Daphnia pulex: one gene and its partners. The protein of the gene in region 1 binds, or shares a complex with, the protein of each later gene. Links are inferred from orthologs where the notes say so. Each region holds a gene or a part of one and is shown in the gene's direction. Other genes may lie near its edges.

The links.
Region 2: eukaryotic translation initiation factor 3 subunit M-like (region 1) and COP9 signalosome complex subunit 4-like share a complex: the UniProt entries of both Caenorhabditis elegans proteins name them as parts of the CSN complex. The link is inferred for Daphnia pulex from reciprocal best matches to the Caenorhabditis elegans genes cif-1 and csn-4.
Region 3: eukaryotic translation initiation factor 3 subunit M-like (region 1) and eukaryotic translation initiation factor 3 subunit K-like share a complex: the UniProt entries of both Caenorhabditis elegans proteins name them as parts of the eukaryotic translation initiation factor 3 (eIF-3) complex. The link is inferred for Daphnia pulex from reciprocal best matches to the Caenorhabditis elegans genes cif-1 and eif-3.K.

The regions. Positions count from the first base shown.
Region 1 is NC_060019.1:9,157,970-9,164,751, reverse strand, and holds eukaryotic translation initiation factor 3 subunit M-like, read left to right. Parts: upstream 1-2,739; 5' UTR 2,740-2,878; coding exon 2,879-2,920; intron 2,921-3,156; coding exon 3,157-3,264; intron 3,265-3,323; coding exon 3,324-3,478; intron 3,479-3,540; coding exon 3,541-3,759; intron 3,760-3,820; coding exon 3,821-3,978; intron 3,979-4,033; coding exon 4,034-4,141; intron 4,142-4,200; coding exon 4,201-4,553; 3' UTR 4,554-4,655; downstream 4,656-6,782. Other genes in the region: cysteine--tRNA ligase, cytoplasmic-like, read right to left, coding at 1-797, 872-1,062, 1,142-1,369, 1,435-2,167; DPH3 homolog, read left to right, coding at 4,908-5,015, 5,084-5,158, 5,290-5,358. UniProt on the Caenorhabditis elegans protein: Component of the eukaryotic translation initiation factor 3 (eIF-3) complex, which is involved in protein synthesis of a specialized repertoire of mRNAs and, together with other initiation factors, stimulates binding of mRNA and methionyl-tRNAi to the 40S ribosome.
Region 2 is NC_060024.1:7,064,796-7,071,444, forward strand, and holds COP9 signalosome complex subunit 4-like, read left to right. Parts: upstream 1-2,471; 5' UTR 2,472-2,619; coding exon 2,620-2,662; intron 2,663-2,758; coding exon 2,759-3,125; intron 3,126-3,190; coding exon 3,191-3,305; intron 3,306-3,441; coding exon 3,442-3,802; intron 3,803-3,854; coding exon 3,855-4,055; intron 4,056-4,117; coding exon 4,118-4,251; 3' UTR 4,252-4,282; downstream 4,283-6,649. Other genes in the region: trafficking protein particle complex subunit 9-like, read left to right, coding at 1-155, 220-594, 1,001-1,581, 1,655-1,858; HAUS augmin-like complex subunit 3, read right to left, coding at 4,283-4,580, 4,642-4,889, 4,977-5,310, 5,394-5,525, 5,587-5,729, 5,789-6,062, 6,127-6,312, 6,383-6,564. UniProt on the Caenorhabditis elegans protein: Component of the COP9 signalosome complex (CSN), a complex involved in various cellular and developmental processes.
Region 3 is NC_060028.1:2,215,755-2,221,786, reverse strand, and holds eukaryotic translation initiation factor 3 subunit K-like, read left to right. Parts: upstream 1-3,598; 5' UTR 3,599-3,707; coding exon 3,708-3,760; intron 3,761-3,850; coding exon 3,851-4,070; intron 4,071-4,131; coding exon 4,132-4,351; intron 4,352-4,427; coding exon 4,428-4,585; 3' UTR 4,586-4,707; downstream 4,708-6,032. Other genes in the region: uncharacterized protein LOC124209413, read left to right, coding at 1,013-1,166, 1,286-1,503, 1,608-1,804, 1,879-2,950; acylphosphatase-2-like, read right to left, coding at 4,930-5,044, 5,416-5,542, 5,760-5,871. UniProt on the Caenorhabditis elegans protein: Component of the eukaryotic translation initiation factor 3 (eIF-3) complex, which is involved in protein synthesis of a specialized repertoire of mRNAs and, together with other initiation factors, stimulates binding of mRNA and methionyl-tRNAi to the 40S ribosome.

The DNA.
Region 1 (6,782 bases):
TTACGTTCTTTCTCAGCTTTTTTGGCTTCCTCAGCCAATCTTTTGTCTTCTTTCTCCTTAAGCAGTTCCTCACGTGGGACAAGCTTCAAAGCAGGAGGCTGATTTTCCCGATCTTCGAGTCTTACGCCCAGGTTAGGCAAAACGTCATCTCGAATTTGATCGCAAAGTTCGAGAACGCGTGTTGCACGTAATTGACGAGCCTCTTTTCTCACTTCTTCTCGGAAGTCTGCGAGCGCTTCAAGGACAGGCATTACGATTTCTTCAACATTATCGGTACCTCCACTAGACGATTCAGAGGGGAATCCAAGGGTTTGCTTGCCTTCAATCACGCCAAAGATCTGGAACAACCGCGTTACATATTCGGCAATGACCTTGATTAGAACCCGGTTGGCAGATTGCTTCAGCTGTGCCAGGTATTTATTGCAAGCCGATATCATGCTTTTAATCGCTTCCAGAGACGTTTTAGTGTCTATGTTATCGCAGAGAGCTTCCCGTACTCGATTTTTCGTTTCGACGAATCGGGTGTTGACTTCCTGCTCAGCTGTGCTCCATTTTTGAAAATATTCTGCGGCAGTATTCGATGACGGGCCATTCCTCAAAAGATCCTTGGCATTTAAGAAGAATTCCCTTAGCATTTTTTCGTAACTCGATGCTTCATCCATTGCACTGTCACTATAGTCGAGTGTTTCTTTCCATGGGTGAAGCAAGAAAAAGATGCGCAATTCGCGGCTGCTATTTCTACTCAACGCATCTTGTATGGTGATGAAATTCTTGAGGGATTTAGACATTTTACAACCCTGTAGAATAATGTCCATTATAGTTTTCTATTGGGTGGAAGAACGGAAAAAGTTTACGGAAGTTTGTATAGTACCTGGATGGTCAGATGACCAGTATGAAGGAAATAGCGAACCCATTCATCATTATCGTAGTAGGCTTCAGATTGGGCTAGTTCATTGTCGTGATGAGGGAACTTTAGGTCGACGCCTCCTGTGTGAATATCCATTGATGACCCTAGAATTGCACTTGCCATCACACTGCATTCAATATGCCACCCAGGACGTCCTGAATAGAATAAAATAAAATAAAATAATTTAATTATTAATTCATTACGTTGGTTCGACATTTTTTAGTTGAATTTTACCTTTCCCCCAAGGAGAATCCCAGGAAGGTTCACCACTCTTTGAAGTTTTCCATAGCGCAAAATCGTTAGGTGATTTTTTCTCACTTAACCGATCTTCAGAGACACTTAGATCACCTTCTCCTTCTTGCAATGCCTTTGAGTCACCGTAAGCTTCAGGTACCAATTTCGCATACTTGTGATTCTTTTGCGAATCGAACTTTGAGACATTGAAGTATACAGAGCCATTTGCTATACAATGACAAAAGAGTCATTAACCGTGACGAGATAATAGAAAAAAAGAGATAAAAACTCACCTGAATATGCAAGTCCACGTTCAATGATTCGTGAGATGTAATCCACGATCTCCGGGACATATTCGCTAACACGCGTAATAACATCGGCTGGTAGAACATTGAGAGCGGCCATATCTTTGTAAAACTCTTCTTCCCAATGTCGCGGAAGAGACGCGAAAATTGCGTTATCTGAAACATCCATGCCGTGCTTCGAGTCGAGCCAATCGCTCAAGACGTCTTTGGCTTCAGCCAACAAAAAGCTCTTTGCTTCGGATAATCCTTGACCAAGCTTGATTGTTTCGGTGAATTTTTCAATCGCGGCAGTGACTTTGGCCAACATCTTCTCCTGCATAACTTTCTTGTCGGGATCGGTGGTTACTGCCATTTGCTTAGAAAGACGATCAACAGATTCCTTGACATCTGTTTGAAGAGTTTCAAGTTCACTCATCTCAGTTGCATACTTTTCATATAAATAATTTTGCCTTGCTCTTTTAATAATTTTGTCGTCAATATCAGTGATATTCATTACATAAGTAATGTCATATCCAAAGTAGTCTCTTAAGACCCTTCTCAGGATATCAAAAGACATGTATGAACGGGCATGTCCCATGTGGGATGCATCATAGACTGTTGGTCCGCAAGAATACCAGGTGATATTTTTCCCATTCTGAGGAGTAAACACCTCCTTCTTACGAGTCAGACTATTGTAAATCTTCAGCTCCATGCTGCTGTTGTTTAAGGGGGCTTCAGACATAATAGGTGAACAAGGTACAACCAATTTCTCAATGTGTTCCAAAAATTATTATTTATCCCTTCGAAACTTCTCACTCTGTAAGTAAAATCTAGTCATTAATATTTTGAAATGTCTGATGCAATAGTTAAAATGTCTTACTTACTTCTATCTTCTACCTAAATTGCCAACCACTCCAACTATTATATATTTTTGCGATTTGCACGTTAACAGATTTGTGAATGTCACCAGTTAACTTTAACGTTATAAGGAAGTTAACAATTAATAAATTTGAAAAATAAATGCTGGTTCGAATGATAACGATCAAATGAATCCGAAACCGGTGCGTACCTTTGACGGTGTATTCGGTTTGTTTCTTCCAACACCGCAACACGTCAAGTTAGATAGAAATTGCGAGTGAGCCGATAACAGCGATAACAAATGTGGTGATCTTTTATGCTGCAATTTTAAAAGGTAGTAATTTTTTTAATAATAATTTTAAAAAATCAAGAACTGGTTTTAGAAAATTTTGGAAAGCGTGAAAGTGTTGAAACAAAGAATTAAAAAAAAAAAAAAATCGTTGATTTATCTGTAGGGGAACACGGTGGCAATGTCGCCATTACAGACGAACTTCTGTACCGGGATCGTGAGCGTGGCCTATATCCGGATTTTTTTGACAAGCAACTTCTAATAAAGGAATCTTTTTTTCCAGTTTGTTTTGAACAATTTATCAGGATGAGTTTACCAGCATTTATCGATTTAACGGTCGAAGAACAGGTTAGTTTCCCCATAAATTTAGTCCGGTAGATGCTAAACTGTTGTGGCGATGAAGTGTGGAGTCTGCCAGTAGCGTACACCTTTCTGTGTTATAGACAATTTTCCCTACTAGTATTTCTAATTTTTATACCTGTTTTACCACCTGGAGAAAGCAAATAACTGTTATATAGTACTGAGACAAAATTTAAGACATCAAGGCTTTGAATTGGTCATTGTATTCATATCTGTCTTTTTAGGCTACTGAATTGTGTAGCTATTTCAAGGCTCTTGGAGCATCAAATGTGGATGATGATCAAAACTCAGATCTTAGCAACATTGTTGCTGTTGCAGATCTCTGTTTCAAAGTAAGTGACAATTTTATTTCAATTAGTAGTGTGTGTTTACACTATTTTCTTCTTTGAAGGAGGGCAATGAAGTGGAATCTGAGGGAGTCTTGAATAGCATTGTATCTATGCTCGTTCTTCTCCCCAATGAAAAAGCTGAACCAATAATTACTACGTTTTGCCAAAAGCTTGCAAAACCCCCCTCAAACAAGTTGGGACTTGTTTGTCTGAGAGTGTGAGCATTTGAAATTTGAAGTTTACATAATGAATTGTCTAACTATAATTTTGATTCTTTAGTCTGTCTGTACTATTTCATGGGCTTGATCCTGTGAGTACAACGCGTTACACGGTCTATCACACGCTAGTCCAAGTTGCTGGACAAGTGGAACAGATGAAGACAGTGTTCACGGATCTAGATAAAATGCGTACTCAACTAGGGCCATGCAAACCTAACAACGAGCAGATGCAAAAACTCCTCCGAAGTTTACATGAAGCTCTCCTCAACTCCAGAGAAAGGTAAAGTATTGAAGTTAAACAAATAATTGTAACAATAAATCAAACCAGTGTTATTATTCAGTGAACTGGCCTCCAAAGTGATGGTGGAGTTGTTGAGCACTTACACGACCGAAAATGCTTCACAGGCTCGTGAGGAAGCTCAACGCTGCATTGTTGCTTCATTGGCTGATCCCAACACTTTCCTTCTCGATCATTTATTGACTTTGCAACCTGTGAAAGGTTTATAAAAATTACTTTGAAGTTAAATCAGTTATTAATTAATTTTTGTGTACAGTTTTGGAAGGTGCCCTTTTGCACGATCTGTTGACCGTATTCGTGACGGAAAAGCTGTCAGCTTATTTGAAGTTTTATGAGGAAAAGAAAGATTTTGTTGAAGGACTAGGTATTTACTGGAAATTTTTAAGTATTTTTTTAAGAATTTTAAGTAACAATGATTTTTAGGTCTGAAACATGAGCAGAACCTTCGAAAAATGCGAATTTTGACTTTCATGCAGTTGGCTGAAAATTCCGTAGAGCTCCCTTTCGAAACGCTCGAGAAGCAATTACAACTAACCGAAGATCAAGTAGAGGAATTTGTCCTTCAAGTCCTTAAGACGAAATTGGTGCGCGCACGAATGGATCAGTTGAACAAGAAAGTGCTTGTTTCATCAACCATGCATCGGACATTCGGCAAGCAGCACTGGCAGCAGTTGCGTGAGTTGCTGACTACTTGGCGAGGCCACCTCAGACAGGTCAAAGATTCCATGCTAACCATCGTTAACGAGCAAGCCGAACTTCTCGCTCAGCAATCCTGAACCGATTAGAGAAGAAACAAAAGACTTCAAATTATCCCGCTATCCATCTCTATTAAGGTTTTGTGGAAATAAACGATGACGCCGGCACATTATCTGACAAAATCAGACTTTGATCATTATTTCTGTTTTGTTTCCAACATACTGTTGTTTGAAAGTAGGGTAGGAGATAAAAAAAAAATTCTTTTTTTATTATGCTTATTATATGCAACGTGTAAACGTGAGTTAATTCAGGTAGTCTGATTTTTGGCCGGCAGATGTCTCTTTTTCTCACGTGTTGTCTTTTGAAGATCCACACATTTTTGTTTCAGTAGTTGAGAAAAATCTTTTATTTATTACTCAGAATTTTTGGTGAAAATGTCTGTCTATCACGATGAAGTTGAAATCGAAGATTTTGAATATGATTCGGACAGTGAAATTTACTTCTATCCTTGCCCTTGTGGAGATCGGTTTGAAATCACCAAAGTAATGTGACGTCCCCATTCCTTACTCAGATTCCAAGCTTATTAAAAGGTTTACTTTTATTTCAACAGGAACAGCTAGAAAATGGGGAAGAGGAAGCCACATGTCCGAGTTGTTCACTTATAGTAAAAGTAATATACAACAAGGTATGTATATGAGCAAGTGGAAGTTCTGGAAGCAACTGGCTTTCAGCCTGTATAGCATTACACAATATGTCTAATATTTAGTTTTAAAATTTACTTACATTCATGAATGACATATTTATTTAAACATACAGGAAGAATTCATGCAGAGCGAGGAAATCACGTATTCATCCCCAAATAAGAAAGAGTCACTCACAACATAAACTAGTTATTTTAGTATACTTAAGTAGGATTGAATAATTTTCAGAAATTGCATTTTTTTGTGTATTAAATTTTGTCCATTCTAAAATTTGCCATGAAGAATCACAAATGAATCTTGTCATTTATCATTCTTATTGCTTCTTTCACGATTGATCTGTCCAATTGAGCTTGTGATCAATCCTCTACTGTTAGGATCTTCTTTATTCATTTCCTTTTGCTTTTCTTCTATGTCTTTCATGAACAACTTCCTAAAATGAAAAACAATATTCAAATATCTCCTTTGCTGGAATGAAATTGAGATTTATCAGTTCTGTACTGAGCAAGTCTTTCAATGTCTCACCGATATTGAAACCCCATGTAGAATGTTCCCAAAATGAATCCTTATGAAGAAAACAATTTTTAACCAATTACTATTCAATGGCTTTGTAATTAAATTTACCAAAAACGATTGGAAATCGAAGAAAAGCAGCTCGACTCCTTGACGAATTTTTCATTTTCATCAGTACCTACAATGTATACTGTATACAATTATGGGTAGATTGTTATTATGAAGTAGTTTTTGATCATGGTCGTGGTCGACCATTTGGAGTAGAATGATCTGTGCGGCATCTAGCGAGGACTTCCTAACTTGAAATTTTACGAAGGTCTCGGGAATTTTCAATCGAATTAATTGAACGTTATTTAATGAACGTTTACGTTTCGGGAATTAATAACTATTACTGATATAGTGATTAATGTTAGAAGTTAAATGAAATTAAACTATGTTTAAAATAACCATTAGCTTAAGAGAGGTTGACTTTGATTACCATTACCATGAAATAAGAATTTTATCACACTGTAGGATGATGATGATAAACTTAAGAGAATGTGTCAATGTGACAATTTCTTTCCACTTGTATTGTAACTACTAGGATCAAAGGAAATAGTTAGCCATGTTATGTTATGTTCTTTTGCTCATCAGTTTCAATATTCTCTATTGGTTCTATGCTGAATTTAGTTTCTCTGCTGCTAGTTTTAAACATTTTGAATTTGCCTTCTTTTGCAAGTTCCTTCATCAAGTCATTATACATTTGTTCCTATTGTTAAGAGAAATGATTAAATATGATAAATTTGGTACAGTACTATTATGAATTTTCCATTACCACTTTTTTCTCATCTTTTGAAACATTTGAGATGGATGCTTTAACAAAATGGCCCTTAGAAAGCCATTTCCTTATATTGTTTAATTTTGCATCCAAGTCATGCTTTTCAATTTTATCTTTAAATGTAATCATCTTGGGAGACTTCTTCTTAAGTTTGGCAAATCCTATCAAACAAAGCACTCAATTTTCATCTGACCAGTATGTAATTGAACTTCTTTAATGTTTACACCTGAATACCTTCATCATGGAGTTGGGAATCAATTGAAGAAGAATAACGACGAATT
Region 2 (6,649 bases), on another chromosome or scaffold:
TAATTTAAAGGCTCAGCTTCCATGGCAATCTGGTACAGCCGTAAGTGTCACTGTTTACGTCCAAGGCGCGAGTGATTTTATTTTACCAGCTATCACTGATTATCTCTCAAATCTTCATTCGGGGGATGACTCTAACAGTCTCCCAAGCTTATCAGGTATCATTCGTATTCATTATAGATAGCAAAAATAGGGTTGACTATCGTATTTTATGTGATCTAGGTCCACCATCAATATTTTCGCGATTAAGTAATCATACCACAGTTACTTGTTCCCCAAGGAATAAAGCTAAGCGAGCTGAATCACTAGTATCAGTTCGTTCAGGAACATCTAGTGTCAGATCCGGAGGAAGTAGCAACCTTCGTATTATTGAATGTCAGGGCAACAACCATGTTGTTCCTCGCACCGTTGCAGTTCTACTTAAGCTTCAGTATTCTGGAGGACCTGGATATATTGCAGGATTTTGCCGATCAAATGGCGTCGGTTTAACGGTTGAAATTTTGCCATCAGTCATTATTACAAAGTGGGATGTGCTGCCTGCAGAAACTCCTTCGCACTGTTACCTAGTACTCGACATTCTGAACGCAACCCAACACGGTAACGCAATATTCTTTTCTTTGCTAGGTATTAATATAGTTTAAACATTTCAAGAATAATAGATTGACTGCCCGCGATGAAAGTAAAACACATGCTATTATCATTCTGTCCGCCGTAGTTGGACGATAAGTAAATTTATTTGATCTTCGCTTTTATTTCAACGATACACACGCTGGTTGAAATTTCACCGCCGTTTCGATACACCATATTTAAAATAGTTTTTCTGGATGGCGTTGCATCGTCTCGGATGCACGAGTTTATTTTTTATAGCATCTGTGTAATAAATTCTTGGAATGCATATGAGAATGAGAGTAGTAATGATTTTTTTAAAACATTATTTCTCTCATCAGCTTAACATTAAGTAGCATAGATTAAAATTTAACGTTACAAATTCTTATACTTGCAGAAATGGAGCTACAGTATAGCAGTTGCAAACACATTGCCATAGAAGCGCTTGATACGTGTCGTATTCCAGTACCTGTTGAACGATGTCCATTGGTCAAGCTAACCCATGTTTACACTGAAAAGGACCTGAGTCCAGAACAGCAACTTGAAAAGATTGCCAGGATTTGCAGCGAACATATTTCCTCCTTAGTTGAGCTAAAGTGGAGCTTATCTGGCGTCAATCAAACTTGTACTTCTATCAATGAAAACATTGAACAAAACTCGACTAAAGTAATAAAAGGCAAAGCTTCGTTGAGTGGCCTGCGCATAGCTCCATCTATGCTGGATCTTCTACATATTCCTCCAATTCAGCTGGAGGTGGAACTAAACAATGAAATATGGTCAGCTGAAAGAACCGAATTTATATGTGTAGTGGGAGATGTATTAAATGTAACAGTCGGTTTATTCAATGCATTAAGTAAATTTTTGGGTCCGCTGAATCTTCAAATATCGGTATATCAAGATCTGCAAAATGGCACGTTTCATCGGCGATTAGACACACGCCTGCTTACAATTGGATCAGATCATGCTGTGCTAGAAAAGGTATTTATTTTCCTTATATGCTCCTTTAGTATCAAAATGTCTTATCTGTTTCTGTTTTGCTTTCTTTAAAAAGATGGAGCCAAACAGTAACTACAAACATTGTTGTGGCATAATTTTTTTTACACCGGGGACTTACAAGCTGGATGTTGTCTGCTCACTCAAAATTTCGACTCAAAATAGAGAATCGAAATCTAATCTTCCGTATGATTCAACTAATGAACAACATGTTTGGAAATTTGTCCCCTCGATCGAAATTATCGTGTCCGAACCATTATGATTCGAAAAATGATACAGGCAAATTTTACATGTAGTTTTTCATGTCTCATTTCATTAGTTGGCTTGTCCGAAATACAAAAAAATTTAAACCATTTACTGCTTCTAGAATAATAAAGGCTCTTTCCTAGCCCATAATAAATATTTTTTTTAAATGCACCCTTATTACCTGTGCTAAATATTCTGTCACGCTGCGACTAATGCGCGTTTTGGTTACTTTTTATGATTTGTTTCGCATGATGTTAATAAATGGATATACGCATGCTTGATGTGAAATAAATTGCCAATACAAATTTTGTCTCGATATTTCGAGGAACAGAAGACAAAGAGGTACGTATTACGTTTTAATCTAATTCACTTGCAGCTATTTTATGCAAAAAAAAATACATTTCTTAAATGAAATGTGAAATTTCACAAAAAAGTGAAACTTTGACTGCGTCTGATTTGTTCAAAACGGCAGATTCTAACGTCTGGCGACCTGACGTTAGAATCAGTGTATTTTTTTTTAAATTACGATTGAAAAATTTTTTCTCTTAAACAGTTTGTGATTTTCCCCAAATCACGCCGACTTCGGGAGTGAATAACTCTCGAACCCGGCCGGTCTGAATCGTCAGACGCGCCATCTCGCGGTTCTCCCACCCTCCTAAACCAAAGTTGATAGTCAAACCTTCTCTTAAAAGGTTTGTGTCTACTTTGACACGGGCTCCCTGACTATTGTACTTCGTAGTCTGTGGTTCTAATAGTATTTTTCAGTTAAAACTAAAAATGTACAACTATAAACAGCAATTGGCTGCACTTGTGAATTCCGGTAAAAAAAATTTCATATGATTAACAATTATATATATGTATGTGTGCATGTGTGTGTAAATATATAGGTGTGTAATTTTCACGAATTTTCTCCTAGGTGGATTCCATAAGGATCAGGCGGAAAAGTTTCGCTTAATCTTAGAAAGTATATTGAACCAAGATGATAGTGAAGGACTCGTTGAGGGCTTAAAGGCTTTAATTGAAACAATTGTTCATGAGAATGTTTCACTTGTTATTAGTCGCCAGATTTTGTCTGAAATAAGTTGTCATGTTCCAAAGTTGACAGATGACATGGGAAAATCTGTGTGCAGTTTTGCTCTAGGGAAAATCCAGCCACGAGTGATATCTTTTGAAGAGCAAGTAGCATCCATTCGTCAGCATTTGGCAGATATCTTTGAAAGAGAGCAATGTTGGAAGGAAGCTGCTAATGTCTTAGTTGGAATACCCTTGGAAACTGGGCAAAAGTAAATTTTTCAATTAGTATTTACTTGTGTAAATGATAATTTCACTGTCAAGTCAAACATTGTAGACAGTACTCCTTGGACTACAAACTGGAGACTTACTTGAAAATAGCACGCCTCTACTTAGAAGATGATGACCCAGTGCAAGCTGAATCATTTATCAATCGGGCTTCTCTGCTACAGGTATAAGCAATTTAAAAATCAGTTTCTTTATGTTAACTGTATTATAACTTTTCTGTGGGTTTTAGAGAACACTATTAATTCAGCTGTATTAACTGTAACAAATAATATGCTTAAAGATTGTTATTTATTTAAATAGGCCGAGTCAAAAAATGAACAGCTACAGGTTTATTATAAAGTTTGCTATGCTCGAGTATTGGATTATCGTCGTAAATTCATTGAAGCAGCCCAGCGCTACAATGAGCTCTCTTACCGAAGCATAATCCATGACGATGAACGAATGACGGCTTTAAGAAATGCATTAATATGTACAATATTAGCATCGGCGGGACAACAGAGAAGCAGAATGCTTGCAACTTTGTTTAAGGATGAGCGTTGTCAACAGTTGCAAGCGTACTGCATTCTGGAGAAAATGTATCTCGATCGTATTATAAGGCGAAAAGAACTTGTTCAGCTCGATTCACTCCTGCAACCTCATCAGAAGGCTAAGACAGCGGATGGTAATTATATCATCTGATTCATTGAAAACTGTCACTTTATTATTATTTTAAGGTTCTTCAATTCTCGAGCGTGCTGTTACAGAACATAACCTTTTGGCTGCGAGTAAACTGTACAACAACATTACTTTCATGGAACTGGGAGCTTTGTTAGAAGTGGATCCTCTTCGAGCTGAGAAAATTGCATCACAAATGATAACTGAAGGTCGAATGAACGGTTCAATTGATCAGATAGATTCGATCGTGCACTTCGAAAGTAAGTTGATATTTATTGTCTACAGTACAGTAATGTAAATATGTAATGTTGATTAATTTTAGGTCGTGATGTCTTACCGGCCTGGGATCGTTCAATTCAGTCACTGTGTTATCAAGTGAATAATATTATAGAGAAGATTGCTAGTGTAGCACCTGACTGGATGGCCAAAGCAATGGATGAACAAATGGTACATTGATATTGTGTAGTATGAAAAAGAAATACAATTTTTACATGGGAATTATTTTAATATTCAAAGCGTTTGTTCTATGAACCATTGATGTGACATCAGTGTAAAAAAGCGTCCATAATCTACGTTCTAGTACGTTCAGATGATCAGTTTTGAAAACGACCTGTTTAGTTTTGAATTTTCTGTTCAAGGGTTTCAACTGACTTTGAACGTCTCGTCTTACAACATTCAAAGTATCAATTCTTTCATCAAGAAATTGTAGATTAGAAGGTTTCTGCGTCTTAGACGTTAGCGGAAACCCGAAGAGCAATTCTTCCAACTTAAAAACCAGCTGCTCTCTATGAATACACAAATAAATGTAAATAACCAAACGTAAGACAAAGATGACAAAATCCTTACAGGCATTTTTGTTGATTTATGACAATTCTACTCAGTTGCCCTAAATTTGACTTGGCTTCTTCTAAATGATTTTTCAAAATAACAGCCAAGTTAATTAGTTCTGAGTAGTCCCAAGGGTCTTGCCTGCATTCCTGTTTGTATTGGAGACCCAATATAGTTTTCATTGAGCATGATGCTTCATCATGTCTAGGAATTGTGTTTCTATTGTGAAGGCTTTTTTCTAGATCAACAAACTGTTTCAATGAAACCTAAATATGAATGAAACATTTAAAGCCTAAAATATAAGGACAAAAAAGGGATCCCAAAAAAGAACACACATGTGAAATATTACTTACAAGTCTTTCAACAAGTTGATGATCAGATTCAAGAAGATACTGAGAAATGTGTTTTAAGGTAGATAGCAATGTTTCTAATTGTCGGCCTTCAAACCTTACAGCAAGTAGTACTAACTGCTCTCTAGCCCATTGTTGAACCAGCAGTGAAAGAAACTCTTTCTGCTTGGCAATAAAAAAATCTTGCCTCAATAGTTTTAAGCTACAGTCTCCGACGATTATAGAAGAACAGCGTAACTGTGTGGCTTTAGAAATTGCATTTTTAACACAGTTCTTCAATGATGCTAATTCTTTTGAGTAAACCAGACTTTTGAAGTCCAAAGAATTCTGGTATTCTCTAAAAAGTTTAAGATTGATATAGTTGTGATAAATAAGCCCATTGTTAAAATGTTCAGTTTTTTTTACAGTTAAAAAAAATACCTATCAACATGGTTTAAAGTAAATTTTCCATCAACTAGTGTAGTAAGAATTTGGTAACTAATACCTATAGCTGTGGTTAGTGATGAAACCTCTGTTTCATTTACAGTCCTGTCTTCCTCAGCCAATGGCAACCTAAAGTTGAGAGTATATATAAGAACTGTTGTATGGAGTTTTGAAAATTGCATTATCTTACTGTAGCTGCAAGCAATTTAATTCCCAGTTTTGTGTGTATCTTGCCTTCTCATCAAGCCCTAAGAGAACTCTAAAATTGCTCTGTCCAATTTGTAAGAAAGCACACATTTCCAATCCAGAATTTTGTCCCATATGCCCCATTTTCTGTAAATAAAGTTAACCGTTAATAAATCATAGTTTTTTAATGTTTTAGGTATGCAGACTTGTTCAAATTGTTTGTTAGCGTAATTAGTCAAACAGGCTGTGCATTCTTCTTCAAAGGCCAAATACTCTTTAAATGAATTTTGGCACAAGAGTTTTTCTTCATTCAAGAACTCCAAAACATGTGATGACAATCCATTAACAGATTGCAAAACTTCATTAGCCATTGCATCAGTACACTTCAATTTTGACAAAAGAACTTCATTTTTTATTTCTAAGCCTGCATTCAAGCTGTCAAGATCAGCAATTTTTCTGCTGATTATATTTCCTTTAGAACTGAAATCAAATCAAGTTATAATTGCAGATTCTGATAAGTTTACAAAGCATAAGTCTTTCATACTTGTAGATGTTCAGCTGGTTTACATAAACTTGCTTTTGAAGAATTAAAGCTTCTTTAACCGACTCAAGATCCTCAATTTCAGTCTCAAGTTCTGCAGATGTGATGGTTACAGAATGATTATCGTAAGCCTCAGCTAACCTTTTGCCTTCCAAAATAGTAATTCCTTCTTTTTTCAAATTTTCAAACCTAAGAAATGTAAGTAAATCATAAAATTTATTTTAAAAAAATACATTCATTTGTGATGAGTTTAATTTACTTTTTCAGTTCAAAATCCGTGAGGAGATTAGTAGTCTGAACTGTGGAACAAAGCCAGTGTAAAAAGGGAAAAGCCTCGTCATTATCAAAAAGCCAATCGAATGAAGAAGGATTGAATTTGTAAATAGCAGGATACTTCAATTGGGAAAGTTTATGAAACAAAGTACTTCCCAGTTCTGCCATTGCGTTGCTTTGAAGTGAAGGCTGTATGGCTCACGTTCTAACGCGTTCTAACTTCTTATCGAATTTTTTTATTTCGATTTGAATA
Region 3 (6,032 bases), on another chromosome or scaffold:
TACATCATTTTCATTTGGTGGGGAAAAGAGCGCATGAAAACAGGGAGTATATTCAGGGGTATGGAGAGGTGGTTCCCAATGACAGTGTTCTGAAAAAATGATCCGCCTTCTAATAATATGTCCAATGTCACACCCAACAAACCGATTCCACGGAAGTTGAACGATTACTTTGACGCAATCGCATCGGATTCGGATTGATGCACATGCTAGTGAAGGAAACAAATTTGGTGTGGGAAAATAATCGTAAACAAATATATACATTTCTAGCGTTTAGTAATCTAGTCGCTCGTGTGTTTCGCCCGTTCCTTGCTATTTATAATCGCCCAATGGTTCATCATATTTTTTTAATATGTTAACTTAGACTTTATAATAATCAGTGCTTCATTGTAAGAAAAAAGTGAACGAAAATCATCAACATTACCGGAAGTTTGCAAATACACGTTTTTAAACCGTTACTTTTTGCAAAATATCGGCAAAATATAACGGCAAATCCTTTGTTCAAGAGCCCAACAAATGCAGTGGGTCCTTATAGAAGTGAAACTTTTTTGCTCGAATGCCGATTATATAGGTTGAAAATGGATCGATATTGCCCAACCTCAACGATATTTGCTTTCCTAGTACTTTTTAAAGGACAGTAAACATGATCAAATATACCGTATAGTTCTAAGATATAAGGCTTATTAGGACCTTGGTTCTACTTTTTCTTCAAGGCTATGGTGGCATACTCAGGCGTACATATCGTCAGCGTAATCGATTTACTCTTTCTATTTAACTGACCTTGTATTCCTTCATAAAAAACGTCAGCATATTATCATGTGATGTGCTAGATGTTGTTTTGGGCAAAACAAATCCGAGAACAGATATTTATTTTTGATAGGTCCAATCAGAGCCTTGGATTTTTATCAACCATGCATCAAGGTTAATACGATCAATCTTCCAAAGTGTTAAATGCGGTTAAATGAATACTCTTCTAAACGACACGGCGGGAACTAGAAGCTATTCGGCAGGCTAAATGCAACTGAAAAGTGTCAAATCGCTATCAAGATTGTGTGAATATGTAATTTTGCACAATATGAAATTGTTTCTAAGTGAATCGGATATTGTTGCCCTTATGGATAACGAACTGGATTTAGAAAACAACACAAATAATCCATTTGATCAGTTACGTAAGTATAACGACGGACTAATATTTATAGGTTTTACATTTTACTGCTCAATCTCAAAGCCAACCCATGAAAGGCCATGATACTATTATTTTTGTCTTTATTCTTTTTTTTTTCACCAGCTTCAAATGTTGTGGACGGTTTTCTCAACTTTACTTGTAAAAGTATTTTCGTATTTCTCGTCGGAGACCAATACCGGCCAAGAGCTATTGAATACCTTCCCCTTTTAATAACACCACACCTTACTGAATTAGAAATACCATTTATGGCTGGTGGAAAACTTGATCAAAGGAAAAAAGATACACATTACATTCTTCGACTGGCTTCAGTAAGAAGCAAAGTAAGTAGAGTTTGTATCTAAATTACATTAAGATTTAAACATGCGTTCTCTTTACGAAAAAATAAGATTGTTCTTAAAGACACCTACTTTTCTGACTTATATAGCAGCTGAAAATATTGCGGATGCGGTTGATGTTTAATTATGATTCTGCATTTCCATTTCATATTAATCTGATATGCAAGTTTTCAAAACTACAAGTTTTGGATGTATCTACTGATGTCAGCTTGTCCAAATTATCTCGGTTTCCTTCAGCACAGGATGCATTTTTGCATCTTCTTGGGCAACATTGTACAGAATTAAGGTAAAAAAAAAACTTATTACAGCATCGTGGATAATTTATGAAATTGATTTATTCTAAAATTAAATAATATTCAGGATACTAAGCGCAAGATACCATCCCATCACAGACGCTGGAATTAGAGGACTGTGCGTGATTGGAAATTGCAGATCCATTCGCTTACTTAATTTCTACGGTTGCAAAGCAATAACCAATCAAGGCATTAAAACTGCTTTTAATAATCTGCCTTTCTTGAAAATACTTTGGAATGAGGCAACCATTGACGGTTTGGCTGAAATAGCTCAAAATGCTGCAGATCAAGGGCTACCTATTCCTAAATACGCGTTGCTTGCCCTATATATTTTGAAAAATACAGTATACAAAGCTGGTAGTCTTGAAAAATCGGTGCTCCTCTGTCCTTACATTACAAAAGTGGACATGACATTGATGTGTGATGGAATCGTAAAAGACGCGGATCTCGTTAGTTTACTTTCCCTTAAAAGCCTCTACATCCTTGAAATCGATCAAAGAAAGCCTTTAAACTTTAATGAAGTTACTTTTAGATATTCTGGAGGTATCACTTTTGAAGGAGGAGTTCTTCCCCTTCTCAAAAAATTTGGGAATTCCTTGACAAAATTAGAACTTGACGTTTTCTTCCTTGACTTAGACATTTTAACCATAATGCAATTTTGCCACAAGCTTCAATACCTTTGCCTTCATATGCGCAGCAAATTTGATCGTTGGCCTAAAGAAGAAGAACAAAAATCGGGAAATAAAAGGGAAATTCCTATCTTAAAACATCTGGAAGAATTGATGTTATGTTCTGATGATTCGCTTCATTCCTTTGTCCCCGCAGAAATTGTGTTAATCTTATTGTCTTCTCCGTTACTATCATTCATTTCCATAAAACTTTTGAATAACCTAACTGACAAAATCATACGAAAAGCAACGCATGTCAATTCCTTTCGTCATCTTGAGAGATTGTGGTTAACTCACTGTAACGAAGTAACTAAATACGGTGTGAACCTTTTTTTACAACAGAATATCCCTCTAAAGAAACTGATTTTGGAACGTTGCGATAAGATAACGTTTGAAGATTCCATCGAATGGGAAGAAACTTTGACCAAGAACAATTGGGAACTTGAATTAGAAATACGTCACCCTTACTAATTATTAGTTAAAAAAATAAAAAGGTACAATGTAATACATTTTTTATGATAAAACCACTCAATTACCGCCGGTAATTAGCCTAATATCGGTAATTTACCGGTACTGTTTTTTTTTAATTATTCTTGAGTAACAACACGAGGAAATCTCATATGTTCTCTCTCGGTATCTTATAAAGGTGGCATTTTGATGTTTGCTCGGAATTCCTCGGGGAAATAGGGTTCATAGAGCATGTTTGAGCAACCATTATTAAAATTAGTTACTGATGGCAGCAAGTAACAGTTATTAGTTTTTATTTTTTGTCGTCTTTTTTAATCATTTGAATTTTGACCATCGCCTAATCTGCTAAGTGCTAAGTGTACCGTGAAAATATCTTCTGTCAAAGATTTTTCAAAGATTTAAATGTCAGCTACATCTTCAACTTTTAAAATTGGCGGAAATTCGAATCACTTTCATTGGTTGAAAGAAGCTCCACAGCTCCACCCGCTCCACCTACCAAGGAGCGGAGTTATTTTCCGACTGAGGGGTTTATGAGGGTTTTCGCCCTAAATTATAGCTCAAAAAAAAATCGTTCTATTTGTTTCATTCTCGACTTTTATCGCAGAGTGAAAATGGAAAGTTTCCACTCCTTCACTTAGCTGATAATGCTTTAAATGGCAACAGAGCCTCTTAGGCCGAAAGCGTCTGCTAAAGCCACATTTCCGTCATCCGTCAAAGTCTAGTTACTGATTGTTAACAATTTCAATAACAGTTCATTATAATGGCCGAAAAGATGAAAACAGAAATCGCTTCTATGCTACAAGGAATTGAAAGGTAAGAGAAAATAATCTGAAAAAGTTAACCCCATCTGCATAGTTGAGGAACACTGTAATGAACAATGGCGGTTTGTTCTCTTATTTCTAGGTACAATCCCGACAATCTTCAGAAGCTAGAACGCTATGTTGAACTGCAAGCACAAGAAAATATGTATGACCTAGAGGCCAACCTAAGTGTGTTGCGATTGTACCAATTTGGCCCAAATTTCTACCGCAGTAACATTGTTAATCTGATCCTACTGAAGGCAATGACCAATTTACCTCACACAGACTTCTTGCTGTGCAAATGCCTTTTGACTCAAGATAGGGTATGTAATATGATTGTTTAATCTAATATATTTAATAGGAATTAATTTTTTTACTTTTCAGTTGGAAGAACCTCAAGTGAGCAGAGTAATGGTCCTAGCTGATTTGCTGGAAACGTGCAAATTCAAGCAGTTTTGGGAGGAATTGGCCAAATGTGGTGACCTAATTATTACTGTTCAAGGATTTGAAGATGCTATTAGGAAGTTTGTTGCTCATGTTGTCAACATTACCTATCAAACTATTGAAGTTCCGGTATTAAAAGAACTTCTTGGCAATGTCAACGGTAATGGCAATATTATCCATGTATTCCCTCTTAACATGGTTTTCGACATTTTAATTTTAAAAACCTCTCTTTTCAGATCAAGTTTTGAAACAATGGGTCGGGAAGTGCAGCTGGAAGGACCTGGGCAACGGCCGTGTGTTCATCACGTCGCAAGAAGATTTGGTCAAGACCAAAAACATCACTGAGAAGATCGAATTTGAAAACGTGGCTGGAATCATGTCACACTGCATTTAAAAGTGAAACTGTCTTTGACCGATCTGCAAACAGGAAGAAAGAAAAACCAACAAACAAACAATTCCAAGGGCAGTGTATTTCTGTTTTGTAACAGCTTCATATACACAATTGTCATGTTTGAATTTGATGATCGTTAAACCACCCAAGCAGTGAATCCCATCGCCGTATTTACACCCGGAATCTGTTTTCCTCTCAAGCAGCATCTAATTAAAAGTTCTGAAATTCGATTCTGCTTTGGCCGATATGGTGTGGGCATGTGCCTCTACATTGACAAGTGAATTGGTGGATGTTTTAAATGATTAGCGGGACATTGAAAAAACAAAGAAAAACCATTTTCATTCGCTTCAAAAACGGATGCTGAATCCGCGGAACTCGGGCCGTGCAAGGTATTCCCAATTGCGAAGCTCGGTGTGGTCGATCTTGCATCCGGGGCTACCTGTCCTCGTCAGCCATTGTGCCCTGTGGAGGAAAAAGGTTTGGAACAACAATTTTAATTATTTCTAGTAGTAGAACTCGTTAAACACACAGACGAATCCGCTTTGGCACCGAGCGCATGACGGGTCAGGAAGATTCTAAAAGTAGCTTGTTTCTCCTCGCTCTACAGAGGACGAGCCCAGCATAGTTAAGGTATTTAACGACGTGTCCTGCCCAAACCATGACTCGTGTGCCTTATCTAGAACCTCGAATGGGCTCGATGCCAATCGTCATTTCGTCGTTTAAATCGTTCGGAGCTGCTCCTGCTTCTGCACCCTACGTTCTAAATCTGTAAATTGCTATTTAAAACAATACGCCACACGGAATGTCGGCTTATTTGTTAATCAAAAACTTACATTTCGTCAATTCGAATTTTCTCTCCTTGAACTTTACCGACGATGGTTCCCTTTTTGGAATTTTTCACCCATCCGGATAGGCCCAGCTGATCGGCCGTATCTTTGCAGAACTTGGTGAAGTAGCATCCTACAGACGTCACGGTTGGTACACAATGTAAGAAATAAAAGAAACAGGGTGTGAAGGCTTGTGATCATAGTCAATCAACACCATCTTAGGCGTGGACGTGGGGGACGAGAATAGCGCAGGCGGGGTGGCAGGTGCTGAATATTTACGTACGAGCCATTTACACTGGGAGTGATCAGCTTTAAAAAATTACGTGTGTTGTAGCTGTATAAATAAATACCTTGAACATGACCGTAGACTTCGAATTCTACAGAAACAAAAGTGACTCCACCAGCAGCGGCGGGGTTGACTTCACCCCCTTGATCGTTAGATACCTCACCGTCTTGGCCCATTATTTGATAAATTAACCGGAGATTTTTAGACAACACTCAGTACACTGAATTCGAATGATGCGGAATAGCACCGCCGCTTAAACACCCACTGCGCACAATGACTCGGACGGAAGACAATTCCGGGAGGCAGCACGGTTTTCTAATCCGTGGGCGGCGCTAGG